4 linked regions of the Diceros bicornis minor genome follow. The protein of the gene in region 3 interacts with the protein of the main gene of each other region in a pairwise test. Links are inferred from orthologs where the notes say so. Each region holds a gene or a part of one and is shown on either strand. Other genes may lie near its edges.

Region 1 (6,891 bases), on a different chromosome or scaffold from region 3:
CGCTTTCCCAGCTCTCAGACACCCCCAAGGGAGAACGTTCTTCCAAGCTCCTATCTGCTCTCAACAGCCACAAGGACCGGTAAGTTGGAAGGAGGCTCAGAAAGAGATGGAGATATGGATATGGAAGCCTGGGAAGGGAGAGGCCACAACTTACCTGGAAGATCATCTCTGAAAAGGACTGAATAATGGCATCAGAGGGGCGCTTTTCTACAGCACTGACCCTATGTCATTTCTCTCCTCACCCCAGTTTCATTTCAGGGAGGGAGATTAAGAAGAGGAAATGCTTGTTTGGTCTCCATGCTCGGATCCCTCCCCCTGTGGAGCCCCCTACTGGAGATGGAGCCCCCACCAGGTCACTGGTCCAGGGGGGATGGGGAAATTCTCAGGGTATTAATCTGGGGGTATATGTATGGAGATGGGGAGGTCTTTGGGGTGTCCGGGAGGGGGCTGGGGGGATAAGGAGGCCTCTTACAGCTTCCCTTCAGGGCAGGGCCCTGGGGGAGGGGTCTCACGTCCCCTGGGGAAGCGCCGGAGGCCGGAGCCAGAGCCCCTGAGGAGGAGGCAGAAGGGGAAAATGGAGGAGCTGGGGCCACCCTCAGCAGTGCGCAATCAGCCCAAGCCCCAGGAGCAGAGGGAGCGGGCTCGTCTGCAGAGGGCACTGCAGGTACAGGGGCAGAGGGAATGCCATGGGGCAAATGGCGGTGTGGGAAGGAATCAAGGATTATCTCTCAGTCTTGTGCTCCTTCTTCCAGGCCTCAGTGTCTCCACCACCCCCCAGCCCTAACCAGAGTTACCAGGGCAGCAGCGGCTACAACTTCCGGCCCACAGATGCCCGCTGTCTGCCCAGGTCAGTGCTCCTCCACCCTCCAACCAGATATGCTCCCTTGGAACCTCTCCTCCAATTGTCTACATCCTCTGGACTTTCTCACCCAAAATTCTTTTCTCTCTCCCCCTTGGCTACTCACTTCTTGTCCTAGAGAGACTTCTAGAACCAATGTCCGATCCCCAGTATTCAGGGGATGGGGGTTCCTTGGGGGTAGTTTTTGAGCTCTGCCCTTCTCAGGGGGAGAGGGTGCTGTTCCCAGGTCCTGACTTTCCCCCTCCCCAACCCCAGCAGTCCCATCCGGATGTTCGCTTCCTTCCACCCCTCTGCCAGCACCGCAGGGACCTCTGGGGATGGTGAACCCCCAGACAGGTGAGATTCTACCCCTTTACCTGTGACACCCCTCTTTGCCTGTGTTCTTAAGTTCCTCAGTTCCTATCCATTTCTTCATTCCTCTGATCCACATGTGGCCTCCATTTCTGGTCAGTCTTCATCTGCATCAGGACTCACAATTGCCCTCTCTCCCTAGGTCACCCCTGGAACTTCACATTGGTTTCCCCACAGACATCCCTAAAAGTGCCCCCCATTCGATGACTGCCTCATCTTCCTCAGTCCCAGCCCCCTCCCCAAGTCTTCCTAGACGCTCAGCACCCCCTTCTCCCTTGTGCCGTAGTTTGTCTCCTGGGACTGGAGGAGGAGTCCGAGGTGGGGTTGGCTACCTCTCCCGAGGGGACCCCGTCCGGGTCCTTGCTCGGAGAGTACGGCCGGATGGCTCTGTGCAGTACCTGGTTGAGTGGGGAGGTGGGGGCATCTTCTGAACAGCCTGCCTCTGTCCACCTCCCTATTCACACACACCGGCACTTTCATACCCTGACCTCTGACCTCACCTACAGCTGGGATGTACCTGGGGAGGTAGGGGGTAGTTCTCTCTACTGCCCAGGCTGGAATCCAGGTGGGGGGTTGGGGAAGAGGCTCTCTCTTCTCTACTCCCTTCATGATTCCTGACCCTTCTCCCATCCCTCTTCCCATTTCCTTTGATGTTATTTTGTTACAGCTTTTTAAATATTTTTTAAAATTATTTAACCCCTGGGGACGGAGACTGAGGAGGGGGGGATGATAAAGGATCCCAGACTCTGTATGATTGAAATAAAGATAAATAAACAAATCTGGTATCCCCGAGTCATTCTGAAAGATGGGAGTAGAAGCACTTCTAATCTTCCCAACCAAATTCACATATATGACAAGGAAAAAGGTAAAAGTGGCAAGAACCAAAGACAGGATTTATTAGGGACCCAGTCATCACCTGAAAGTCAGAGGGCATTGAAGTATATGAGGGAAACATGGCAGGAACAGGGCTCGTCAGGGTAGAACTGTGCTGGAGTCAGAAACTGCCTCCGTAACCTGGTGCACCCAATGCAGGTATGGGGAGTTCCCCTGCTCCACAGGCAATGCAATCACCTCGGCCACTTCGTAAGGGTGCAGAGAACTGCAAAAAAGACAGGGAGGATCGCTCAAAGATTTACCCAAAGGAGCCCACCCCCTCAGACTGCCCAGCAAGTCCCACCCCACAGTATACACCCTCACCCCTACCCATCTCACAGTTCTCACCGAACAAAATCTGTCAAAGCCGGAACCAAGGAACTTCGGGTTTTAATCATCTAAGGGGCAAAGGCAGACATGGTTGAATCAGGGGGAAGGGTTGATTGATTTCAGGATCTCAAATGAGGGATGGGGTTAAAGGGGTCAGGGAATTGAGGTTTTGTTGGGTAGGGGAATGTTTCTCACCATCAGCACCTCACTGTCCTCTTCAATCTTTCCTTTCCACTCATAGCTGAAAAGGTCAGGGAGAGAGTGTTGTGGGAGCAAAGATTTCGCTCAAGGAAAAAGACTGCCAGTCAGCCCCTGGAGTTAGGTTAACCCCCCAACTCCTATGACTCACATGGATGTAATCTGAGGGATGAGGTTGACACAGGCTGCCAGGCGCTTCTCCACCACAGCCCTGAAGGTGAAGAGACAGCCCCGAAGGTGAAGAGACAGCCCCATTCAGAGCGCCCATGACCCAGATTTGTGCACTGGCAGCCCCAGAGACAGGCTTCCAAAGCCGGAGCAGGCAGAGGGGGCACGCTTCTCCCCCACCCCCAACTCTCCCTTCATGACCATCCTTCCCTGCTTCACACTGATGTCCCCACCTGGCGATCTCTTTGGCAACCTTCTCGTTGGGGCAGGTGACAAAGGCTGCAGAGACGGAGCCGGGAACATAGCCAGAGCCCGAGGCCTGCGAGGGCTGGGTCGGGGGGCTTCCTGAAGCCATGGACAGCAGGGCTCGGGGTAGCAACACAAGGCGGGAGGCCACAGGCAGCAGCGCTGGCATCCAAAGAAGCGACAGGAGCAGAGCGGCCTGAGAGCAGGAGGTGAATTCAGTGTCTCCCCGCAAATACCCCAGGAAATTGCATCCCAGGAACCCTTGGCTTGATATACACTCAGGCTCTGCCCTCCCTCTTCTGCACCCGGAAGGAAAAGGTCCCTGACACTGGGAGAGAAACTTGGAAAATTTATGGCATATACTTGGTTTTCACTCCCTCCTAAAGGGCCAACCTCCGGGATTTAGGGTGCGGGTGGTGACCGCGGCTTGAAGGACCGGAAGGGGCGGGGCCAGTCACTCACCCCTCCGCCGAGCAGGATGGCGGGACCCCGCCCCCCCCTCATGCAGTCTATGCTGGTAGAGGTGCGTTGAATATCAAACGCCACACGTAACGCCGAGAAAGGACCCCAAAGCCAGGAAGAGCTGCCCCTTCTTACCTGGGCGGCAGCCACGTGATAAGAAAACAGCGCACACCACGTGACAGTAGAAACCGGACCACCCGACCCTCCAGAGCCAGCCAATCCTGGCCCTCACGTGGCCCAACTTGCCCCGCCTCCTGGTGAGGGAGGAGCGAAGGGGGATCTGACCAATCGACAGCCGGATCTGCAGACGTGCACGGAAATGGCACGCTCGCTTCCGTGTAAACCGGAAACAGCCCATTGCGGGCTGAGGAGAGCCGCTGCGGCGTTCCACTGTCACGTGAGGGGACCGGGCCCCTCAGGCGGCGGTACCTCAATGAGCGACACGAAAAGGCCAATCACAGGCCAGCCCCGCAGGCCACGTGATGAGAGAGCTGGCGCTAGGAAAGGGGGGGCTAAAGATCCCGCAGACTCCATGCGTCAGGTTGTGGAGTGGGAAATCATCCTTAAACCCCAGAATGTGCCCACTGACAGCCCCTACACTGTTCCCGAGGCCTTAAGGAGTGGGAGGGTCTGAGAAGATTGAACCTCGGGGGCGAAGAGAGCGCCCCCTGCCATTTTGGTTAGGACTGACAGATGCCTGGTTTGGGAATGAACAATGATAATCTGAGGAGAAGCCAGCTGTCCCTGGGTAGAGGGAAGTGATTAGGCAGGCACGGGCTTGGCAAGACAATGCCTAGGTGAGGAAAGATGCATTTTCAAAGGACAGAGTGAGACCCTGTCAATGGGATAGAGGGGCTGAGGGCGCCTCAGCCTTCTTAACTGAAACCCCAAAACTAGAGACAGACTGGTGAATTGGCGAGATGGGGAGAGATGAGGGCTGCAGGTTAGAGATACCGAGAAGACACCAGGAAGTAGTGATGGTCCTTCTTTCCCTTATCCCCTAACTATTAGACTCTCCAGGACTGGTCTACCGCCTCAGCCTTGGGTCTCCTTCCATCAACCCGTCCCCCTAGGAGCCAGGACCTGCCCTACATAACCTCCCTGGGGCCCAAGCACATCCTGTGACCCAAAAATGGAGAGAGGGGCCAATGAGAGGAGAGATAGGTAGGAGGAGGCGACAGAGAAAAAAGCTCTTGCCACTCCCCCTACCCAGTATCCCCGCTCCCTCCAAGGTCTGGGGTCTCTGGTCTGCTGGGTGGGTGTGACTGGGCGTTTCCCAGGCTGATGTCAGAGTTCTCTTATACCTACCTCTCTGGGGTTAGGATCTCCCTGAGATTTCTGTCTTTGGGATTGGAGTTTGTCTCTGAGATGGAGCTCTATGGGGTGTTTCAGAATTTGCATTGGGATCTTTCTCGGGACTGAGTTTCCTTTTTGTTTGGGGGGTTTCTGTGTTTCTGGGTCTGCAATCACTCTCTCTGAGGTCTTTCAAACTCTTCTTTATGTGTTTGGGGTCTCTGAGTTCTCCATCTCTGGGCTAGCTGAGTGTCTCTTCTCTCTCTCTCTCTCCCTTCTCGCCCTCCCCCCCCCCCAGGTCTGGATTGTCTCTGTCTCTGAGTCTGCAATTTCTTTCTTCTGAGATCTAAGTCTGGGGTCTCTGATACCTCTCTCTGGGTCAGAGTTCTCTAAGACCTAATTCTAGGTCTAGGTTCTTCTGAATCTGGGTCTCATCTTTTTTCTCTGAGTCTCCATCTCAGGTCTTGGTCCCTGAAAATCACCACGTGAGCCTGGAGTCTAAGATTTCTGTGGCTATGGAGAACCTTTTTGAGACTGGATGCTCAGATTTTTGATCTTTGACCCCTCAGGGGGGAGTCTGGGGTCTTTTTTTCTGAGATTGGGGTCTCTCTTCCTCTAGATTTTGGGTTTGTGCCTCAGATTAACTCCCAGGGGTGGCAAGGTATCTTCCTCTGTGGGTCTGGGGTCTCTCGATCTCAGGGTCTGGGGTCTGCATCTTTAGAACTGCTCTCTTTCTCTCTGGTGTGTTTTTGAGTCAGGGGTCTCTCTCTCTCTCTCTCTCTCTGGTTCCCACTGAGTAGGGGTGGGGGCTGCCGAGTCTCTCTCTCCTCCTCCTCCTGCTCTCTCCTCTCGCTCGCTCCCCCGCCCCCCTCTCTCTCTCTCCCGGCTGCCGCTGCTGCCGTTGGCTCCTATTCTCCTCCTCCTCCTCCTCTCTCCTCCTCTCTGCTCCTCTCCGCTCCTCTCTCCTCCTCTCTCCTCCTCCTCCTCCTCCACCTCCTCCTCCTTCTCCCCCTCTCTCTCCCCCTCTTTCTCTCTTCTTTCTCCCCCGTCCCCCCGCCCCCTCCCCCCTAGGCCTGATGAGCAGGTCTCGCGCCTCCATCCATCGGGGGAGCATCCCCGCGATGTCCTATGCCCCCTTCAGAGGTACGGTGGTTGAGGGGAGGGGGAGGGCTGGGGGGGGGCTGGAGGGGGAGGGGCAGGGGTGGGGGGTGCAGAGCTGGGGCCAGGGAGGGGAGCAGCTGAAATGTAGGGAGAAAGGAGGACCGGGAAGGCAGGGATGGGAGCAACGGGGAAGGAGGGGTTGGAGGCTAGAGGATAGGGGTAGATAGGGGCTGGAGGGGCCAGGAAACAGGCTTTTAAGGGGACTGGGGGGAAAATGATGAAGGGGAAAGATTGCCAGAAAGGGTGGGAAGATAGAAGGATAGGGTTGGGGGAAGAGCTGCAGAAATAATTTGGAGGTGGGAGCTGAGAGATGAGGAAAATATCAAGGAAATAGAAGGACAGAGTCTTAGGATAGGGGCTAGGAGGGGGAAATGAAAACACAGGGGTGAAAAGAGAAGCCAAGAAGATGGGGGACAGATTATGGTGGGGGGGCTCAGAGAATGGTAGGGAGTAGAAAAAGAGAGGAGGATGGAGGGAGAGAAGGGGCCAGATGGAGAGAGAGGGTGGCAGGGGGGGGGAGGAAAGAAGGGTCCAGATGGAGGGAAGAGAGGAAAGAGGGAATGGGTTGGGGGAGGAGAGACCAGGGCAGTGGGGGGGACCAAATTATGTGTGTGTTTGTTGCCGGGGGAGGGGGGCAATACAAGTAAGATTGAGTGATGGGAGTAGGGGCCAGGTCAGGACCCTGCCCCAGGCTCTGATCCTCATTAAGGCCAGTGAAATGTAACCCCTGGAGTCTTATCCGCTCCCTTCACTTCCCCACTTTTACTCCCCTCCCCCACCTCCAATCCTTATTTCCATTCCCCCTCCCTCCTCTGGTGTCCATCACCTATATCTTTCCCCCCATATGGTGTCCGTTCCTTATATGAGTCCCCCTTCTGTCCTTCCCCTATATCAGCCTCTTCTCTGGTGCCCATTCTCTCTCTCTCTCTCTCTTCTATCTGGCAGTTCCC
Region 2 (7,494 bases), on a different chromosome or scaffold from region 3:
AAGTGGGAATGAAATCAGACCCTGGAAAGGTCTCCTGACCACAGCGATGGTAAGATACTGGAAGTGGTCTGTAGAAGCCCCTCTACACAAAAGCTGCTGTTGTCATTTGCTCCCTTCATCCCCTCGCTCCAAGAACCTCTTCAACTGATCTTAGCAGATTAAGAGAAAAACCAACCAAATAGTAGGCTTTTCTCTGAATTTCAGCCTTCCCATCTGTAAAATGGGGACAATTATCTTTATCATTTACCCTAGGCTCCTGGAATGTTTAATTAGAAAGGGTTTAAGGGTAACTACAGACTCTTCCAAAATCAGACAAGCCCCAGAAGTTTCTCTACCCAACAGGAACCCACAGAGTAAAGAACTGTCAGGCCAGCTAGAGGGAAAATGCATCAGAAACCGGGTAGGATGAAGGAAAATGGAGCTCAGCCAGCTCAAGCCCAACATCAGCTGGAGGGAGATGATGTGAGGTGCCAGGCAGCAGCTGAAAGCAGGCACTGTCACAGAAGAGAGTCTGGGAGTCTGGCCTGCAGCAGCTTCAGTGCCTCACCAGCAGGAATCAAGACAAGCCCATGGCCTACCTCAGTGATTGGTATGGCTAGGAATCCCCATCCCCAGGAAGGTCTGTAGCTTCCTCTCTTTGGAAAGGGGTCCCAAGTTGAAGGATCTACAGCCTTAGGCTTATTGAGTCTTTGATCCTTCTCCCCAGATTCCCTCTGGTCAGCTCTGATGGCATGGGGGGGGGGCGGCAGGAATGGAAAGCAACATGGAGGGTTGGAAAGTTCCTTGGCTAAGACTAGCCAGGAACCCACAAGTTTGCTGTGTGACCTTGGGCAAGTCCCCTCCCTTCTCTGGACTTCAGTGTCCTCACTTGACAATTAAGAGTTTGGATCAAGTCAATTCTAAGTTTCCTCCCCTGGCCATCATTCTACAGCTACACACAAGCTCACTCCTTGGAAGTGAGCCCCCTGGCATAGAATGCAGTGGGCACTGCCTGCCAGATCAGTGGGGCACTGGGGGTGGGGGATGCGGGGGTTGTATCTGATGCTGTTCATCCTATGTTCATGTTCCTTTTAGAAACACCTGCCACCCTAGCCCTCCCGCTCCCTTTTTAGACCCTGATTCACTGCCAACTCACGAAGCCTCTCCCTCCCCTCCCTCCTCTCTTCTCCCCCTCTCTCCCTTTTAGGCCTTGGCAGCTGGGTGCAAAAGTAGCCCCAGCACTCAGGGAATGCTAGGTGGAGGTGGAGATCAGTGCCCCCAGGGTCAGAGAGAGGACACCAGGGGGTATCCCTCTCTAACCTCGGCCCAGCCCAGCTCTGCGGGTCACCAAAAGACCTGGGTTGGAGTCTTTCTGTACCACTGACTAGCAGTGTGGGATTATGGGAAATGCAATTCACCTCTCGAGCCTCAACATCCTCATCTGTAAATTGGCATTATATTAAGATGAACTACACGAAATTGCTATTTTTGTAGGTAAAAAACAAAAAGTTGAATATTGGCAATTTCATATGGCTTAACCTAGCTTGCCTGTTTCCTGGGGCCTTTGCGGAGATAAGAAGAAAGAGTTGAGAGGGGAGCATTTTTCAAAAGCCCTAAACTGATAAAAGGGCATATTATTATCATTATTATTACTTCAAAGAGCTTTAGCACAGACCCTCCTAGAGCCAGTGGGCTGAACCAATGACCCAGAACTTGGAAATTGAGGGCTTGGAAGTCTGGGAGACAACCACCTGCTCTGATGACTAAGAACTGGGCAGAAGCTTCCACCTGGCCTCCTCAGCTCCAGGCTCTAAAGGGCCTTTGGTGAAACATTATTGGGATGACACAAGTTCCCAGGCCCCAAGAAGAAGCACACATACTCCAGCTCACCCCAGGCCCCACCACCACCAGGGGTCCCAGCATGCAGCAAGGACACAACCAGCAGCATCACAGAGGGTACCCCCTGAGGTGGGTGAAGGTGGGGACCAAGGTGGGGAGTGCAGCATGGCTCTTGCCTGAGTCAGGGGTGAGGAGTCCCTGGGGAGGGGGATGAGCTGACCTCTAAAAAGTCTGATCTCCCTCTCCCATGCCCCCCACCCCCCAGGAATCCCTGGGGGGAGGGGGGACAAAGCCCAGGTGTGGGTGATTCAGAGTGAACCCTGCTCAGATACATTCTCACACAGCCAACACACACACACAGGCCACAGATACCTGAACCCACTCACAGAGACACAGTCACACCAGCACACACACACATCCCTTCACATACACACTCACAGAGACATACACAGGCACACACGGTGACAACACACACACTCATTCACACACATGTCCACAGACACATACACAGTAACACCCTCCACACACACTGCATACACCCAGTGACACGCACCGAGTCACTGCACACACTCACTGGCACACACAACCACCCACAGACCTACATGGTGACACACTCTCATCACAGACACACAGTGACACGCACTCACACTTACACACCTGCAGAGGAAACTTCTCTCCGGATCTCCCCAACACCACCACTTCCCCCCACAACCCAGCTGGCTACTCCCTCCCAGATCCAAGCCTCCAGCCGGGCCAGAGCCGGGCCAGGGCTGGCCGGCCCCGGCGGCTCTGGCCGGAGAGCCGGTCCTCGCTCCGCGTGGTCCCCTCGCCGGTCCCTGGGGTCAGGCCCGCGGGCCGTCAGGCCGGGGCGGGGGCGGGGGCGGCGAAGGAGGCCCAGCCTCCCCCCTCCCGGGGCCGGGAGCCGAGGCCGCCGGAGCCCGGGGCGTGGGCGGCGCCGGGGCCGCAGCCAGGCCGAGGCTGGGGGGCGCTGCAGAGGGCGCGGCGAGCGCGGCCCCGTCCCCACCCCTCCCCGCGGCTTACCTGGCCCGGCTCGGGCTCCGGCCGGGTTACATGGTGCCGGCGGCCCGGGCTGGGGGCGCTGCGGCGGCGGGCGGGCGGGCAGGGACGGGGCCCGGCACTGCGGAGCCCCCGGCGGAGGGGCCGCGCCGGCTGCGGAGCCCCGAGCGAGCGCCGAGCGGCAGCGGGCGCGGGAGCGGGAGGCGGCCAAGCCACGGAGGCTGGATTTCCCGGGGACCAGGAAGGGGAGGCGGGGGGATCCCGCCCGCGCGCTCCGCCCCCGCCCCCGCCCCCGCCCCCGCGCAGGGCCGCCGAGCCCGGAGCCCGCGAGAGGGAGGGGGAGACCGAGCTCCCCGCCCCCGCACCGGACCCGGGAGGGCCGAGGTCGCAGCCGGCGGGCGGCCGCCGGGGTCTCGGAGGAGCGCCCGCCTCGTTGAGCGACAGCGCTGGGGAGGCCCACCCCGGGGGTGGGAATAAGCTCCCCCTCCCCGGGACCACTGGGTCAGTGTCAGCCGGGGACCCAAGAACAGACACACAGTGTCACGGCCACGCACAGCCGACCTAGGCACAGGGACCCGAGCCCAGAGGCAGGCGGTTGGGGAGACAGTCACACAGTCTCACAGACACGGTCTCGCGCCCCACCGAGACACAGTCACATCCTGAATGTCACGCACGGCCCCCCAGGCACATCCCCTAAGGAGACTCTCCTTTGGGTTTTGCGGGTCAGCTACCCGACTTCAGCTCCTGCCCTCGGTTCAAGGAGCCCCGTTCCTCTGCCCCAGCCCCGGCCGAGGTGGGGCGCTGTGTCCTGCCTCAGAGCCACCGACCGGCGTTCCCCACCCACAGTCCGCACAGCCGAGGCATCCCCAGTGTGGAGGGAGAACCCCGCTATACCTGCCGACTTTGCTGGGGCCCCCACCCATGCCCACTGTGCCCGCCCACCTCTAGGCCCTGAGCCAGGGGTTGTGCCATGGCGGGGGCGGGGAGGGGGGGAGAGGGAAAGGGGACTGTCCGAAGCCCAGCCAGAGGCTGCAGAGCCAGGACACAGGCTGCAGGAGCCAGGAGAGGCGGAGGAGAGCTGACTGCAGCAGTCCCTTGGCTTGAATCCGTCTTGGCGCCCAGAACGATGCTGTAATGGGGGGGAGGGGGCCGCACTGGGGAAGCCGCAGCGGGAGGGGCTGAAGATGTAGGGGAGGGGCTGGTCTGGATTCTGATTTCCCAGGGTGGGTGTGAGGGAACACTGCCTCAGGCGCTGAAAGTTGGGATGGAGAGTAGTACGCATCCTCAAAGCGCTCTTCCCCTCTTTCCTGCTCCACATTTTCTGATCTTGAAAGCTTTGAGGTAGTGAGGTGTGGGTTCAGGCGGCTTGGGAGACCGACTGTCCACCTCTCTAGGAACGGACCTTGCAGTAGTTCTGATTAAACGCCCACCCAACAATTCCCTTCTTCCTATACTCCTTTGGGGCCACTGGCTCTCCTCCTTGTGTAAAGAGGAAACCGAGGCACAGAAAGAGAAGTCACAGGCCCAAAATGGTTAGAACTGGGAGCCAAGCCCTTTCCTCTTTCCCCAGGGAGATGTTTCAAGATGCCACAGTACATAGATGACATAAAGGGGGTTGGAGAACCCTTTCCCCAGGAAACCTAGAAGTCTGGTGGCAGACTGGCAGGCTGGTCACCTATCCTGCTGCCTGTAAGACCGATTCAGTCTAGACTTGTCAATCATGAGCCAAGGTTGCAGACCGTTCCCAGCCCAGGGATCAGCCAAGAGCAGATATCAGAGAAAATAAGATTGAAAGTTGGTCCTAGGAACCTGCTTTGGAACTGGAAGAGGCATTTCACTTTCCATGAAGCGTAAGAACAGCCATCATGTAGGATGCTAAAAGGCACCACCATGTTTTCCCAGTTCTAAGATGTACATTTTGTGTTAACTGAAATTGGAAAGCATTTTACAATGGATAGGGACGTTTAATATGGTTTTCTACTTTTTCTTAAAGCTGCTATCAAAGAGATGATGTGTTTTAGAATTGAGAACATAGTGTAGTTTTCATTTGTTCATTCAACAACCATTTATTGATTGTACCTGGCACCTTGCTAGCCTCTTGATTAAAGATTAATCAGATAGGCTTAGCTTAGACAGTGTTCTCTCACATCCATCCAGTATATATAAGGGAGACGGAGATGTAAACCAACAATTACTATCAGGGTCAGCTTCATGGGAGTGTGAGCTGTACAGTCACACAAAGCCCCACACTCAAAAGGGCCCCACTCTTGGTTTAATGCTGTGCTGTCACCATCTTGAGAGTCTTAATAATTTTTGAACAAGGGGCTCTGCACTCCACAAATTATGGTTGTTCTATTAGGAATTCCATGCCTTAACAGAAATAGGCACAAAATACTTCTAGAGTCTAAAGGCAACAGCCAGCTCTGCTTAGATGAAGAGGGGCAGTCAAAGAAGTAAAGAAGCATCAAGGAGGCATTTGAGTAGAATCTCAAAGATCGGGAGAGAGAATTACAGGTAGAGAGCCACACATGTACAAAGACAGAAACTCATCAAAATGTCAATCAAGCAGTGTGGCAGACTAGGTGCTTGGTTGATCCTCTGCTGAAAAAGTGATAAATGATAGAAAAAGTGATAAATGATAAAAAATAATAAATAAAATATTTTATAAAATCTTAAATGCATCAATGAGCTGGCAAGAAAATAAGAATCACTGCAGCCAAGATGTAAGAGAAGGCAGAACCAGAGAAGTAAGCAAGGCACTGAAGCCAACTTTAGCCTTGGGGGCTATGCTACATTGGTTGCAAAAACGATACCAACTCTCCACCTCTCCCTGAATCCATGTCCTTTGCCCTGTGACTTTGCAACTCCCTGCATCAAGAGATGGACTCTATTTTCCTTGAATCTGGGTGGACTTGTAACTTGCTTTGGCCAATAGAATGTGGAAGAAGTCATGATGTGTCAGTTCTAAGCCTAAGTTTTAAGAGGTTTGCATACTTCTACTCTTTCTCTGGGTCTCCTGCCTCCATTGTGAGAACAAGCCTGGAATAGCCTGCTGGAGGACGAGAGACAGGGTGCAAGAGAGCCATGCTATTCCAGCCAAGACCATCATAGAACAGCAGACACCCAAACATGTGAGAGAGCCCGGCCAAGAGCAACATAGATATCTACCTGACCGCGGCTAGCTGCCGATACTTCAGTGAGACCAACTGAATGAGAAGAACTATTGAGCTAATTTGAGGACTCTTAAGCAATAATAAATGCTTATTAATTTAAGCCACTGAGTTTTGGAATGGTGTGTTATGCCACAATATTGTGGCAATAAATCACTGATACAGAGATATCTGCTAACAGATAAAATTGAACTTCAGTTTTCATGACCTCTCAGGGCATGTGGAAAAGAAGATAAACTGCAAGGTCTACCCAAGTTTGGCAAATACTCCCCTGCGTAAACTTAGAACCCCAAAGGGCTCTGCTCTAATGTACAAGTGAACTAGAAAAAACTAACCCCATTCCCACAAGCAGGAAATTGCCAGGAAAACTACCTGTTTTAAGCCTTGGCAATAGCAATGAGTGTAGGGAGAAAGAATCATCTCCTGAGAATCCATAACTACAACTTAGACCTCACACCATATGCAATCAAATTCACTCTACCTAGGTGATCTGAAAAACCTCAAACAAAGAATTTAGTATAAAATGGTCCCAGACTGGTAGTACCCCAGGTGCCTGGCAGAAGCAAATGTAAATCTTTGTTAGAGGAACTCACCTTTATCTCGGGCCTCAAATAATTTCCACAGATAAAGTTCCAAATAAAATGAACAGCACACAGTCAAATATCACTAAACACACAAGAAAACATGACACCAAGAACAAGAACCAGCAAAAACAGCAAACGGCTGAAATGCCTCTGCAAAGAACTCAACTACTGGACTTATGAGACACAGAACGTAAAATAAATATGTTTAATATATTTAGGGAAATAAAATAATCCTGTTGCTTTTGGCTTATCTTCCTTGTCTTATTGTACTAGCCAGGTCCTAGAGTACAACGTTAGATAGAAGTGGTGATGGTGGGTATGTTTGTCTTGTTTATAACTTTAGTGCTCTGACATTTTTTCTTAAGGATGATATTTATTGCAGGATTTTTAGAGACCTCTCTTGCTCAGGTAAGGGAAGTTCCATTTTATTTCTAATTTCCTAAGAGTTTTAATCAAAAGTATGTTGAATTTTATCAAGGGTTTTCTGCATCATTTCACATGATCATATGGTTTTTTTCCTTTAATCTGTTAATGTGATCATTTACATTTAGAGATTTTCCTAATATTAAATTTTACTTGCCTGAGATAAACCCAACTTTCTCGAGGAGCTTTATGACTTATTTTACATATATCATTGGATTTGACCTGCTAATATTTTGTTTTGGATTTTTGCTCTATATTAATAAATAAAATGAGCCTAATATTTTCCTATCTTTGTTGTCTAGGACTTGGTATCTAAGTTATTCTAGCTTCGTAAAATGAGTTGGGCGAGTGTCATTTCTTTTTCTTTCTCTGAAAAAGTTTGTATGATTGGAAAGATCTGATATTCGTAAGCTTGTTGAAACACATCTGTAAAACCATCTGGAACTGGTGTTTTCTTTATGGGAAGTTTTTTCTTTTGTTTT
Region 3 (7,312 bases):
CGCCCCGCCCACAGGCAATATTCAGTCTCTTCACATTTCCCCACCAGCACACTGTGATGCCTTCCCAGACTCTCCCCCAACCAACACGCCCAGCTACACGGTGATCTAAGGACCACCAGCCTAATTTCTCTCAAGCCCAGGACACCCCCAACCCCTGGGTCTCCTAGGGCTGCCTCACCAGATGCCAGTTTGGGGAGGTATTTTTCTTTCTGGGCCTTCGTGCCAAAGAGCAGGATGCCTTTGAAACCGATGCTCTGATGGGCGCCCAGAGTGATGCCCACGCCAAGGTCGTGCATGCCCACGATCTCCACCAAGCGGGCGTACTGGAGGGGAAGTGGGCATCTGAGGCCGTAACTGGCTGCGTGGGTACCTGCCCTTAGAAAAGTGTGAGCAACAGGGCAGGGCCTGACCTGTGCATCCCCACAAAGTGAGTGGAGAGAGGAAATGGGACCATGGCAGAAAAGGACACTCGAGTCTGTCCCAGGGCTTAGTGGGAAGGCTTCCTACCCTATTGTCAGGCAGTCCCCACCTTAGAGATTCATTAGAACTTGGGAACCTGGGTGAGGTCCATGTCCCTAGGAGACTGCATGTAGTTTAGTGTTATGTTTGGAATGGGTGTGTACACATGAGGAGAGTCACCATCCCACAGGCCTCCAGGGCAGTTGCTTGGCAGAGACCTTAGCCCCAGGGATGAGAAAGGAGCTGAATCTGCCAAGCCTGAGTAGACCTGGACACTGGGAAGTGACTGAGGGGGCTTCCTCACCTGGGTGTTGCAGAGGCCCACACCGCCCAGCTCACTGGGCACCTGTAGACCAAATGCCCCCAGCTCTTTGAGGCCCTGCATAGTGGTCTCCTCCACCCGCTCCAGCATGTCATTCTTGGCAGGATCATTCACATCCTAGGAAGGCACAGGATTCCACGTGGATCCAGGCTCCTTTTAAGCTCCTTAATCTCTCCCCCACCCCATCAGGGACCAAACTCTCTAGTCCCCAGCCCCAGTCATTCCTCACCTCGAAGAAACGGGACACAGGTCCCACCAGCTCTTTGAGAAACTGTGTCTGCTCCTCGTTGAGCACTGCGGGGGTTGGTGAATGAGTGGGTGGGGAAAACAGGTCAAGCGAGACTGTCAGGGGAAACCGCGTGTTGGACCCAGCTCTGACTACACCTTGCCTTACCAGAGGGGTATGGAAACACCTGGTCTGTGGTGAGCTGACCCTTGAACATCCCCACAGCAAAGGACTTAGATTCCTGCGCAGGGAGAAGGGGGGTTTCAGGGACCTGTCAGGTGGGTCCGCCCCTCCTTAGCTCCTCCCGGCCTCAGGGTCACATACCGCCTTGGCCCGTTTTCCCCTGGTCAAAGCCTCAGAGGAGAGGGACTCTGCCTTGTCCAGAGCAGCCTGGGGAAAGCGGCAGTTAGTGAGGTCAGGGAAGAGGCTTCGGAAGTGCCAAGGAGAGCCCAAGGGAAGAGCTGGGAGCCGGGGAGGGCGGATCCGGCCACCTTTCCCCTAGTTTCATCCCGGGGCACCCTGGCCTGCCCTTTCCCCTACTTTCGGCGCCAGGCCGGTCGGCAGGTGACTGGGACAAACAGGGAGATCCCTGCCGGCGCCGGGGACTTAGGAGCCGGGGCGGACTCCCCCTCCCACGCCCCACTCCCAAGGCCACCGTTACTTACCTGAGCGGCCCCACTGGCATAGTGTCGCCGGGCAGGGCCGGGCCGGGGCTGCCCCAGGAGCGCGCTGGGCCGCGAGCTGTGGGGAGTGGGGGCTCAGTTCTGGGCGGGTCCCCAGGCCTGCTGCCCCCCCGTCCCTCCTGTCATACACACACTTTCCGCCCCCCAACCTCAGCAGCTGCCGCCCCACGCTGGGGGCCATCCTCGCCGCCTGCATCTCCGAACCGCTCCGGTCGCCGCTGCCTTGAGCGCTGACCTAGAGCTCTCGCCCGGTCCGCCAGTGTGGGTTCCCCCACCCCTGACTCATCCTCCACAATGCACCGGGAGGCGGGCGGGCGGGGCTTCCGGTCGCCGGGGCATGCTGGGAGCTGTAGTTCCGCAGCGCTCCTTGCCACCCAGCGCCTGCATTCTGGTTGACCTAAGATGATCTCCATACGTCCCTTGTCTCCCCCAAACTCCTTCGTCCTGCCTGTCGGAACTAGAGTGCAGCCCTCAGAAGGGGTGATGAGATAGGCTGGGACTGAAGAGGGAGAAGCTTAGGCGACTGCAGCCAGAGGGATGGAGGGTAGACTGAAGGGAGGACTTCCCAGGTAGAGTTAGAAGGGAGAGGTGGGAAGAGAGCCGTGTAAGATAGATGCCAGAGGTAGAGGCATGGAAAGACGACTCTTTGGGGTCTTTCTTGAAATCTGTCTCCACCAATACAAAAGGAAGAGAACTGGTGGAGTGGGGGACTCAAGTTGGGATGTGAGTGTCCTAAGCATATTCTCCCAAGACCTAGGAGGTGTCACTAACTCTGGAAACACCTAAATTTTCACAGTGTTCACAGTAGGAACAACCCCCGGGGTTCACTGCTTCCCCCTTAGGGCCTCTGAGGCCTTCTTGAACATCTATCTTTCTCTGCCCTCTGTTCCTTCCTGAGACCACGCACTCAGGCAAGACCTCTGAGCACATGGATTCTTCCCAGGCCTGAGAGGAACTGTAGGAATTCTCATGTCCCTCCCTCTCCCACTGGGTCAAGAAGTCCTAGGCAATTTATACCCTTCTTTCTGCCATTCCTACTGGGGACAGGCACAGGAGGGGAGAGAGCTGGGCTAAGCTTCCTTTCTTTTTGTGCAGCAGGAGCCTCCTTGGTAGTGACCTCTTCCCTAGTCCCTCAGGAAAGTATAGCTAAGTCATGTCTGGCTTTGGGGAGAGGGGCCAGGGTGTGTGGAGCAAGGTGGTGGTGGTGGTGGTGTCTGGGGACCCGGGGAAGAATGGGACAGCGGGTGGGTTCAGAGACTGCCTCCTTTACCTAACAGCTGGAATTGGGTGAGGAGATGTCAGCTCAGCTTCAATCCTGGAGGATTAGCGAGATTAAAGTGAGAGAAGAGAGAGATGTCCGAGAGACCAAGAGGTGAAAAACAAGAGTCCTTGCGGAGGAGAGGCCTAGGGGTGGAGTGGGCGTCTGGGACTCTTTCTCCCCGAATCTTTCCATAGAGTCTGGGGTGAAAGGGCAAAGGCTGGGGAAAGATGAGGTGAGTGAGTATGCTGATCTGTTTGTCTCTTCCTTGTCCCAATCCTCCCTCACTTGCATTTCACCAGCTCCCAGGTCAGCCCTCTGGCTCCTGGCCCCCCCACTATTGCGATGGGCACCCCCTCTCCTCACGGTGCTGCACAGTGACCTCTTCCAGGCCTTGTTGGGTGAGTAGCACCAATTTTCTGAGGGGCAGTGGTGGAAAGGGCTGGCCTGATCCTGCGAGGGCAATTATCCATCTCAGGGGCTGGTTGAGAGCCTGGAGATCATTTGGTTCAAGCAGGAGCCCCCGCAGGGGTCATCCTGACAGTGTCCTCCATCAGCGTCCACCAGGCTCGGCTGGAGGAGCTCCTCCCTGACCAGACAGAAGGAGGCCAATGATGGCAGGGATGGCCAGGGAGGCAGGGGCAGGGGAGGGTAACTCAGTTCTGTTCCTGTGACAGACATCCTGGACTATTATGAGGCTTCCATCTCAGAGAGTCAGGTAAGGGGGTGGGGTGGGGGGACTGACTTCCTGAGGGAGGAGGCAGGGCTGGAGCAAAGTACTGAGGGAGGCACTGCTAATATTTAACTGAGACTTGGGGGCCCTGGGGATGAAATTCTGAGTGAGGGGCATGGAGAATGCACTTTCTCCTGTCCTGCAGCCTCTTCTCCCTCTTGCTTCCCCCCTTTCTTTGCCTGCCCCAATTTCAGGCACTAAGAGTCCAGGACGTAATTACTTTTCAGGCTTCCTCCTGTGAATCCCGAGGGAGAACTAGGCCCCCAGGGATTCCCTCCTGCCAGCCCCTCCCTCACCCCCTGCCCCCTATCACGGGCTGTCTCCAGTATTTAAACAACCGTGGGTGCTCCCAGCCCGACTCTGGGTGCTTCCTCTGAGAAATGAAACCCATCCTCATCGTCTCTGCTGTATCGCTGGTGGCTGGCCAGGTCTCCATGTTTGCCTCAGGGCCTCTCCTCTCCTGCTTCCATCTCCTCTCCCATTATCCGGGTTCCTGCCAGCACTGAAGGAGTTAACTCTGCCAAGGCACCCCCCCCATTCTCGCTCCTCGCTCGCTCCCTCCCTCCCCCTGCTTCCTCTCTCCTCCTCTCTCCCCTTCCCTCCTCGGCTCCACGGCTCCCTCGGCCGCTGCCGCCTCCGACCCCCCCACCCCACTCCCCCGCCACGGCCCCTAGCCCCTGGCCGTTAGGCAAGACCCCCCCCTACCCCGGGGCTCCCCAGAATCCAGTTCCCCTCCCCCACCTCAGCTCATGCCCCAGCCCCCGAACTCCGGGGCTGCCAGCCCCCGGTGCCCCCGCCCCTCCTGAGAATCGGGGTGTGCTCCCCGAGCCCCCTCCCCTCCATTGGGGACCCCCTTTTAGGGCCCCCTTCCCCTCCCTCCCACGCTTCCCTACCTTTTCCTTCTCCAACCCCCTCTTTCCCCTCTCACCCCTCCCCCCATCCTGGCTCCCCCTGCAAAAGTGGGGTGCGGAGGGGGGAGGGGTGAGAACCGACGGAGGGGAGGAAGGAAACTCCGATGAAGTCAGAGCCCCTTACCCGCCGCCGCGGCCAGGCCCCCCAACATGGACTGTCTCTGTATAGTGACAACCAAGGTAAGCGTGATGGGGGGTCTGTAAACTGGGGGGAGGGTATGAGTTTGTGGGGAGGGGTTAGGCAGGCCTAATCTGGGGCCAGGGGGCCTGGAGTGAGAGCATCAGAAGATGTATCTCAGGGTCATAATTTACTTTTGGGGTGCACATCTGAGAAAACGCTTGGTTTGGCCACAGGTGCCCCCGGAGTGATCCCTTTGTACCTGTAGAGAAATGGAAAATTTGGTGTATTCCATGGTTTGGGGGGTCTTGTGGGTTTTGGGGTTCACCAATGATGTTTGAGGGAGACTTATTTAAGGAGAAGCCTAGCTCACATGGGAGTTCTGCTCTTGTGTATGTTAGGTGGACTACGTGGTGGGGGGGTCCTTTTTCCCCCTGGGGGACAAGCTGGCTTCCAGGTGCCTTGTCTAATTTCAGGGGGCTCCTGGCTTGGGGGTAGAAGGTTATTGGTTGGGAGTGCCTGACTGGTCTGGGGGTGTCAGCTGGCAGGGAAAGGGTGGGCCTTCAGGCTATGGAACAAGCGTCTCATGGTAGATACATTTGAGGGTCTGCTCAATTTGAAGGAACTGTTAATTTAGGGTTCGATCATATGGAATGGGGATAGTTGGGAGTTGTCAGAGGGCTGGGGTCTGGCATAGGATCACCTGAGGGAATGGACCAGGTGAGGTTAGGATTTGGGGGTACTCCCATGGGACGTAGAAGGTTGCGGCAGCTGAGGTTGCCAGCTCCTGAGGAGGACGATGGGAGGTTTTGAGAGAGAGGGGATTTAAGGAGGGGAACCAGGTAGGTGGTACAAAATTTGGAGGTGGCCCAGGCAGGTTCCCAATGTCCCCATCCCCTCCTACACTGTATCTACCCCTGGTTGAGAAAGAGGGAGAAGAGCAGATGGAGGGGACTGTTCCTGTTACTACCCCTGACACTTAGGATCAAGGTTGGGGGGACACCTGGATTTAAGGTTACTGGGGTGAAAAGGAGTAGGAGGAGGGCAGGGCTGGCAGCAGTAAGGATCTGTACAAAGGTGGCCTTGTGGTTGGGGCCTGGAAAGGGCAGGAGATCTTGGATGGGGAGCGCAAGCAAGCTCCTGGTGGGATGCAGAATACCTAGGTCTTGGCCGGGAGACTCTGGAACTGGAAAGCTGGATGCCTGGTGTATGGAGGGAGGCTTGGGCGGGTGGCAGGCAGCTGGGGGTTGGGGGGTGGGACAGGAAGTGGGGGCCGGGGAGGCGGGGTCCGGGTGAGTCACTGGCTGGGGAGGGGGTTATATTTAGTGGGAACTGCAGCTTCTCAGGGGAGGGAGCTGAGGACACACATGTTCTGTGCCACAAACTCACACATGTGTGTACACATGCGCTGTACACATGTGAGCATGGATGGAAGAGACTGGGGGCTGAGGACCTTTAGGTTCGGAGCCCCCACCCCCTCTCCAGGGCTACTTGCTTGTACCCTGTTTTGTGGGCTTTGGGCTTTCTCCCACACTGCTTCTTTCCCTCACCCCCTGTAGTTTCAGTGGATTTTGGTGCCTCAGTTTCTCTGGCCTGGTCTCCTTTAATGTCTATCTGATCCTCTGCTCCACCTGTCTCCTGCCCTTAGCCTGCCCCTTAACCTTAGGCTCCCTGGCTGTGGTCTCCTGTGTACAGGTGTACACAGAGAGCCAGTTGGAATGTGTAGGCTCTGCTTCCAACACGTGAACATAACGCCAGTGAGGGTGAGGGGCTTGCCTGCACTGGCAGCTATTCTGGGAGGGTGGCTTATTCATTTCCCTTCCAGACTCCTACTTCTTCGATGGAGCCCAGGGTTGAGCCTCTCCGAAGGAAAGAGCCTTGTGCAGAGAGGATCATGCATTTGGGGTTTTACAGAGGCATGGAGACCCAGGCTTACCATATTACTTGGCCGGAAAACTTGGCAGTCTTGGGATGGCGGGGACTCCAACTCCCATAAGACCTTGAGGCACAAGATCCCTCAGTGTTAGAGGGCTGCTGCCGGTGGGGCTGTTGGGAGTTGTGGTTCATCTCTATCCAGGGCAGCGAAGGGTAGCCCAGGAGGAGCCAGCAGGGGGCACATGGCACTTTTTCCCCCAAAATGCTGTGTGGGGAAGGGGGTGCCCAGGCTTTGCGGTCGTTGAGCTTCCCAGCTCCGTCTGAGTCCTCCATTTTTCATTGCCTATATTTAGACTCCTGCCGCAGTGATTTAAGGAACATTTATTGAATGCCACTATGTGCCAGGCCCTGTGCTTTGTGCTAACTCTGCCTTTATAGCTATCACTTAGTCTTACTCCGTGCCTATATCTCTGCCTGTCTCTCTGTCTCTGAGCATCTTTCTCCCACTCCGCCCCCGTCCCTCCCCCTTCTCCCCGCGCTGCTGCCGCCGTTGCCATGGTAACCGGCGACGACTGAAGTTGCGTGGCGAACTTGAGGGCCGGGCGCGGGTGGCGGAGGGCGGAGCAGAACAAGTGGGGGAGGGGAGAAAGTGGGGAAAGACCGGGGGTATTTGGCCAGAGCCCCGGAGGCGAAGCGGTTAAACCCCCCGGGTGGTCCTCATTGGGCA
Region 4 (7,019 bases), on a different chromosome or scaffold from region 3:
CCTGGGCCTGGGGTGGCCAGGTTGGGGAGGTTGTTCATTGTTTGAGGAGCCTTGAGTCGAATTCTTCTGAACAGCCCTGGTTGGTTTGTTTTTTGAATCAACGAGGATTTTGACTTTTCAGGCTTGCCGAATGAGGCCTTCGTTTGCTCCACGTGTGTTTTGAAAAGACCCTCCCATCTGCTACACAAAAGATGGACCGAGGGAGGCTGCAGGGCGCCCAGGGCGCAGCCTGGTGCAGCAGTCTGAACGAGAAATCGAGAATCGAGAAAGCGCCCGGACAGGGGGATGACTCTGGGGATAAAGAGAAGGGGATTTGAGAGATGTTTAGGAGGTTTGACAAAGTGGGACATGGTCTTGGGTTTTATGTACGAGGGGGCGAGGGAGAAGGAGGACAGGGCATAGGATCCTCCTGGCTTCTTGGTTGCCGGAGAGGGTGAGCTGGTTCCAGGTACGAGGTTAGATAGAGCTGCAGGAGCACAAGGCCTCCGGGGAAGGTCACGCACTGGGCCCTGGACACGCAGAGTGTGAGGGTCCACAGGGCAGAGCTGCGGGCAGGAATTTGGCTATGGGGACTGGGATCTCCGAGGGACAGGCTGGGCTGGAGAGAGGAATGTCTGTGTCAGGGAAGGAGGGGAAAGCCAGAGCTTGTGACAATTAGTCAATAACTGTGTATTTAGCATTGAAAATATTTGTCGAGTAGAGTATTCTCTGAGCACCTCCACGTGCCAGGTGCGATGCTGGGCACTGGGGATCTGGCAATAAACTGAATGGACAAAACTCTGCCTCGTGGGGCCGACGTGTTTGTGGGAGGGACAGGCGATAATCAGGATAAATTACTCATTTACGTATCCTATTATATAGTGATACGTGCCAGCGAGAACAATGAAACAGGGAGAGAGAGGCACCGGGAATGCGAGGTAGAGTGTGGGGAGTAATGATATCAGCAGACATGGAGGTTGTGCTCACTGAATTCATTTAAGCCTCACACAAGCCTGATGAGGAAGGTGCTGTAATTACTCCCATTTTAGCAATGAGCAACTGAGTCACAGAGAAGTTAAGAAACTGGCCCAAGGTCACTCAGCTATGTAAATGGCAGAGCCTGGATTTTTAGCTCGAGCCCACGCTCTTCAGTTAAGAGTCTTAATTAACCAGAATGCTGAACTGCCTGTCATTGCCAAGGTCAGGTCTCAGCAAAGATCTGAAGGAGGTGAAGGGGTAAGGCTCACGGACATCTGGGCGACAAGAGAGGACATGAATAATCCAGACAAGAGATGACGATGGCTCATTCCACAGTGGTGGTGGCAGTGCAGGTGCAGCACCGGCTTCTGGATGTGTGTGAAGGTGGGTCCTGGAGGAGCTGCGTTGGCTTGGATGTGGAGCGTGAGGGAGAGAGAGGCGTCAAGGATGACTCCAGGGCTTGGGCCTGCGCAGCTGCAGGGAGAGGGTTCTGTCCACCAAGATGGGGCAGCTGTGGGAGGAACCACTTCATAAAGTACTTTCCACGTCCATTATCTCTTAACCCCCTGGCTACTCTCTGAGGTAGGCGCTGAGGCTCTCGGAGGTTTTGTGACCTGCCCAGGATCATGAGGCCGGAACGTGGCAGAGCCAGGACCAGAAGCCAAGTGTGCATCATAGGGTTTGGAGTTTTGATTCATTCATTCAATCAGCAAACACTTCTGGAGCACCTGCTATGTGCCAGGTGGTGTGCTAAGTGTTGAAAATGATGACCACTGACAATGGCCCTGCCCTCGTGGAGCTCTCAGTCTGTTGGAGGAGGCAGTGTCAACTGATGATCAATGAAATGATTTCCTCACATCAGCATGATAAGTGGTAGAGGGGAAAACAAAAGGAGCCCTAGGAGCCAGTAACCAGGACCTGACCTAGCTGGGAGGTCAGGGAGGGCTTCCTGGAGGAGGTGAATGTGAAGTGCAAAGACCTCTGGGATAGAAGATCTGTGGGAGCATGGGGGGCTTCTTGGGAAAAAACTCCCTGGTTTCCCGGCCATAGTGGAGGAACCCCGAGGGGATCACAGGCTCCCAGAGGACGGCTGCCCATTTGGAAATTGCAGAATCTCTTTTTTTAGTGTGCGATTGTTGATTGTTGGAACAGCTTTATTGAGATAGAATTCACATACCATACAATTCACCCATTTAAAGTGTACAATTCAGTGGTTTTTAGTATATTCACAGAGTTGTGCATCCATCACCATGGCCCATTTTAGAACATTTTCATTATCCCAAAAAGAAACCACGAATCCCTTAGCTGTCACCCCTGCCCAATCCCCCAATGGCAACTGCTAATCTGCTTTCTGTCCCTGCACAGTTACCTGTTCTGGACATTTCGTATAAGTGAAATCATACGCTCTGTGATCTTTTGTGACTGGCCTTTTCACTTAACATGATGTTCTCGAGGTTCATCCACGTTGGAAATCCCAGAATCTTAAACACGATCAGAGCTGGCAGGGACCTGAGAGACTGTCCTGTGTGCTTCTCCCACCTGTTGTAAAGGGGGGACTCGGGGAGGAGACTTCCTCTGGTTCCTCAGCAAGGAAGTGGAGGGGCTCCAAGGTGGGTCATGGGACCCTCAGATCAGGGCCCCTGCCCCACTGCCCTGCACAGGACGCCTCCCTCTGCTGTCGCCTCTTTTCCTTCAGCTTTGGGCTCTGGCTGATTTTGGTTAAAAGTGACAATGTGGTCGGAAACGCATCCTCTCAAGCACTGGATTTTCATGCACTGGCAATTTGCACACCCCATGGTGCATCTTGAAATCTTTTATGCATCTTTAAGAATTTGTGTCCACTAATTCAGAATTTTTTGGAGTTTGGTATTTTCTTTTCTTGCTACTTAAATACTTTTCGTCCAGATGGTTATGCCTGTTTTTCTCAGTTGGTGATTTTCCCACTGGGGGAGACAGGGTGGCATTGGGGTTAAGTGCTGGGTCTCAGAGTCGAATGCCCTGCCTCCTGCTCGGTGTGCACCCGTGGGTAATTACTGAAGCTCTCTGAGCCTTGGTTTCTCCCTTTGAAAAATAGCAACAGCATCATAGGGCTGTGTTGAGGAGGAAATGAGGGCATGCCTGTTGCGGGCCTGGCAAGGGGTAGGTGCGGATCCTGGGAGCTCAGAGGTTGTGAGGGCTTTCCAGGGTGACCAGGAGAGAAAGGGGAACCTCCCCACCGTAGACTGCCCCGTTCTCCATATTCCTGCTTTGAATTGACCCTGTACCTCCCCTCCCAGGCCTGAGAGGTGGAAACGCTGAGCTCAGATCCCAGCCCAGCCACTTGGATTCTGGGCCCCCAGGTCAGCTCGGTTTCCTGTGTCTTAGTTTCTCTACCTGTAGAATGAGAGGGCAGAAAGCAGGGGTTTCCACCGAGGCCTCCAAGGCAACAAGAGGCTCCTGGGGGGGGGTGGAATGGAGGGGCTTTTTCTTCTCCCAGGAGGGCCTGGTTCCTGCTGATGTAAAGATCCAAGCAGGAACCGTGGCACCTGTTCGGGAGAGGTGGGTAGAGAGAGCCACCTGGCTCACAGTAGCTCTCGGAGGAGGCACTCATTCTCATTTGACAAGTGGGGAAACTGAGGCTGAGAATGGGGCAGCTGTCTGCCCAGTGCCTCTTAGTGAGTGAGGGGCTGAGTTGGGATTTGAACTCAGGACTGTGGATTCCAGCCCCTTTCCCAGCTGCTGCCATCCAGGGAAAAGGAGAGAGAAGCAAGATGGGGAGGATCGGAGCCTTTGGAACCCCAGCTTCCCACTGCTGTGGGCATTCTGTGGGTGGTGGGAAAGGCATCGTAAATATGCATGAGATGCAAATACGCCTCTGAAAAATAAGGTGGGGGCCTGCATGATCTGGGATGCCAGAGGGCTTTGGAAAATGTAGTGTTGTCCAGACACTTGGGTTTCTATGATGACTGTTACATGGTGTCCCCCTCCCCAGTGTCTGCAGGGCCAGTCCAGGGGTCTCAGGGTGGAGGGATTATCCTGGTTGCCTCCTAATTAATGTTCTCCCCCATTCCTGCAGGCACCTCTGCCAGGTGCCTGGTAGCCCTGTGTGTGACCAGAACCTGGTCACTCTGGGCGCTGAAAGGCCCCTGTCCCACGCTGCTTCCCACCAGCACCTCTGATCAAGTGCCCAGAGGGATGTGTGTGCCAGCCCTCGGTCCAGCGCCTGCTCCTGAGGTGATGCCTGCTGGTTCCCAACTGGTTCCTGTTTTCCCTCTGCACGTGGCTCCCTGGTTGGTAAGTAACTGCGTCCTCAGGCCTGGGCACACGGAATCAGGGCTGCTCACCCGCCCACCCCTGCTTGGCACAGTTGGGAAATGCCCAGCGTTCTCACCCAGCGGCGCCCACATGCTGGCAAAGGGACCTCAGTGAGAGCTTTTATATGTCTGGGCTCAATTTATAGTTTAACTGTGTGTCTCATCCAGTCCTCCCAACAACTCGGGAGATGGGCATGGTGATTACGTCCGCTTTACAGAGGAAAACACCCTCAGAGAGGGGAAGCCACTTGCCTGAGGATGCACAGCAAGCCCAGCTCTGTCCACCTCAAAGGCCAGCTCTTGCCACACCCAAGGGGCTGGGCAGTTGGTGACATGGGTCCAGGAAGGGAAGGGTAGCAGTGAGCTGTACTGGAAGCCATGGAACCTCTGGGGCCCCCAAGGGGGCTGAAGTGAGACCATCAGAGTTCCTGAATCTTGAGGAGCCCCATTATTTCTGCCCCTCCAGCCTGTTCCACCCACACTCCTCCAGTCCCGACCTTGCCTAACCCCAACATGGGATGAGGTGCAGGGCCCAGCCAGCATCTCTGACCATCCATCTGAGGATGCCGCAGCCTGCCGCCACCCACGCCACCCACTCCTGGTCCTGTCCTCCTTCCCACAACAGCGTGCCCTGGCCACAGCACCTGACACTCACCACGTTCCTGCGTCTCATCCTCCCGCCATCTCCCAAGGCTGTGCAGGCATGACTAGTCCAGTTCAGATGAGGAAACTGATGCTCAAAAGAGCTCAAGGGGCTTCCCCAGGGTCACCCAGCTGCCACTCAGCACTACATGGGACTGTTGGTTTACGATCTGCCTCCTCATCTGGCCTCAGCTCCCTAAGGGTGAGAAATAACTGCTTAATTCCCCACCGGACAGCCAGCAGCTGGCACGGTGCCTGGCATATCATGGGTACAGTAAATGGTTGTGGAAGGAAGGAAAGAGGGAGAGAAGGGAAGGCTCTCTCACCTCCCTCCACCCAGACACCAGCAGGACCCAAGAGACCCCTGGCCTTGTGGCCAGCTGCTGGTCCCTGCTGGCCCCAGAGAGCTTGAGGTCAGCTCGGGCCTTCAGCAAGGCAGCCAGCCCCTCTGGTCTCGACTCTCTCATCTGCCAACAGCTGCCCAGCCTCCCTGATGGGATGGTTATAAGAAGGGAAAAGACTCGTAAATATGTATAATATGCAAATGTCATAGGATAATAAAAAACCTGTGAAGTTTGCTGTAGATAATGTATATAGAAGTGCTTCTTCGAGAATGAGTAGCTGCTTGCTCGTGCGGTGCCAGCCTTGTTATCAATAACCGTGAAAAAGGCCCTGTTAATTAGCTGACACCCAGCCCAGCTCCCCCGATCTGGCCCCTGGCCTGTTGTAGCGACCGCAGACAGCTGTTGCATTTGGCTGAGAAGCTGTCACAGGAAAAGAAGTGATAAGGACATCTCATCTGAGAGCTGTGAGCGTCTGAGGGGTTTAGTCATTCACAAACACTCCTGGGCGTGCCCTGCACCCTGCATTTCCCCCGCAGGGACTACGTAACAGGAGCAACCTGACTGCCAGCAAGCATTTCTTGAGCAATTACTACGCGCCTGGCCTTGCACTCAGTGCTTCATTTTCTTCATCATCTCAGTTAAACTACTGACCACCCTGTGGGAGGTTGGTGGGGAGACTGAGGCATGGACCCGCCGGACCTGGGCGAGAGGGCTCATCTGTCAGCATTCTAGTCCTTCCTGAAAGTTACTGCCATTCAGTGTCCGCCTCTGCCCTCCAGGCCAGGCACCGCCGGAGGGGCCGGATTGTGGCCACTGAGAGCGCAGTGTAGCCGGCAGCGCCTGGTGTGTGTGGCCCAGTGACGGAGAACGGGATTCCTTGGCACGAGCTGGGAGAGCAGCCGTCAGCATTGCGTGGAAAGATGGAGGCCGGGGCGGCAGCGAGGGAGGTGTTACTGCTGCTATTTTGCTAACAAGCTGGTTATTTAAAGAACAGCCGAAGAAGCCGAAGTCGGGAAATCGGATGGGAAGTCTCCACGCCCAGGGCAGAGGCAGCCAGGGGTCTGGGAGCCTGGCTGGGTGGGGGCGGAGTGCCACACATTCTTGTTTTCAATTTGATTATTATTAATAGTAATAGTAACAGCACCATGCAAGTTTGGAAAAGGATTACCTTTGTGGAGAAAAGAGGATGTAGGATTGGGAGGGGGCAAGAGGGGTGTCTGAGGGGCAAGCGGTCTTCTCTTCCTTGACCCAGGTGGTGGTTAGATAACTTTTTGTTTTGTGATCATTTATTTCAGTAAACATTTTTGTTTTGTGCACTTTTTTCTGTGTATTATATTTCATAGTAAAAAGGCTAAAAAGCAATTATAACAATAATAATTAATATTTATTGAGCACTTACTAAATGCCAGGCTCTTTGCTAAGCATTTTACCATGTCTCATTGAATCTGCACAGATTCTGTTGTTCTACCCATTTTACAGAGGAGGAAAGTGAGGCTCAGAAAGGGAAAGTTACTTGCCATGCAGTCAAAGAGAGCTCAGGTGGAGGAGATGGGATGAGAAACTGGACAGGCTGACTCAGGCCAGCATCACTGCCCCGTGTTTGAGGATTGGGGGCCAGGAAGTTCCCCCAAAAGGGCGGGGGTTTCCTCCATCTGTTCCTCAGACATGTGTCAGTGCCTCTTGCATTTTTAACACTTAGGAGGCCAAGCAGGTGTCTGTGGCCATGGGCAGGGGATGAGGCATCTGGAACTCTGACAAGGGGTCAGAGCAGAGCGTTTAGCTA

Evidence for each region.
Region 1: the proteins of DLG4 (region 3) and SYNGAP1 interact in a two-hybrid assay, tested with the Homo sapiens proteins (2 studies listed by BioGRID and IntAct). The link is inferred for Diceros bicornis minor from reciprocal best matches to the Homo sapiens genes DLG4 and SYNGAP1.
Region 2: the proteins of DLG4 (region 3) and DLGAP3 interact in a two-hybrid assay, tested with the Homo sapiens proteins (2 studies listed by BioGRID and IntAct). The link is inferred for Diceros bicornis minor from reciprocal best matches to the Homo sapiens genes DLG4 and DLGAP3.
Region 4: the proteins of DLG4 (region 3) and DLGAP4 interact in a two-hybrid assay, tested with the Homo sapiens proteins (2 studies listed by BioGRID and IntAct). The link is inferred for Diceros bicornis minor from reciprocal best matches to the Homo sapiens genes DLG4 and DLGAP4.

Annotation. Positions count from the first base shown.
Region 1 is NC_080753.1:31,071,813-31,078,703, reverse strand, and holds the start of SYNGAP1 (ras/Rap GTPase-activating protein SynGAP), read left to right. Parts: upstream 1-3,886; 5' UTR 3,887-5,856; coding exon 5,857-5,923; intron 5,924-6,891. Other genes in the region: PHF1 (PHD finger protein 1), read left to right, coding at 12-79, 248-352, 475-664, 753-847, 1,115-1,195, 1,353-1,641; protein CutA, read right to left, coding at 2,183-2,309, 2,432-2,481, 2,609-2,654, 2,763-2,822, 3,013-3,221, 3,488-3,529. UniProt on the Homo sapiens protein: Major constituent of the PSD essential for postsynaptic signaling. Inhibitory regulator of the Ras-cAMP pathway.
Region 2 is NC_080752.1:49,327,629-49,335,122, forward strand, and holds the start of DLGAP3 (disks large-associated protein 3), read right to left. Parts: upstream 3,006-7,494; 5' UTR 2,860-3,005; intron 1-2,859. UniProt on the Homo sapiens protein: May play a role in the molecular organization of synapses and neuronal cell signaling. Could be an adapter protein linking ion channel to the subsynaptic cytoskeleton. May induce enrichment of PSD-95/SAP90 at the plasma membrane.
Region 3 is NC_080757.1:11,065,078-11,072,389, forward strand, and holds the start of DLG4 (disks large homolog 4), read left to right. Parts: upstream 1-4,298; 5' UTR 4,299-4,742; coding exon 4,743-4,772; intron 4,773-7,312. Other genes in the region: ACADVL (very long-chain specific acyl-CoA dehydrogenase, mitochondrial), read right to left, coding at 179-323, 764-898, 1,011-1,075, 1,176-1,248, 1,332-1,397, 1,673-1,748, 1,840-1,886. UniProt on the Homo sapiens protein: Postsynaptic scaffolding protein that plays a critical role in synaptogenesis and synaptic plasticity by providing a platform for the postsynaptic clustering of crucial synaptic proteins.
Region 4 is NC_080758.1:23,522,151-23,529,169, reverse strand, and holds the start of DLGAP4 (disks large-associated protein 4), read left to right. Parts: upstream 1-4,012; 5' UTR 4,013-4,230; intron 4,231-7,019. UniProt on the Homo sapiens protein: May play a role in the molecular organization of synapses and neuronal cell signaling. Could be an adapter protein linking ion channel to the subsynaptic cytoskeleton. May induce enrichment of PSD-95/SAP90 at the plasma membrane.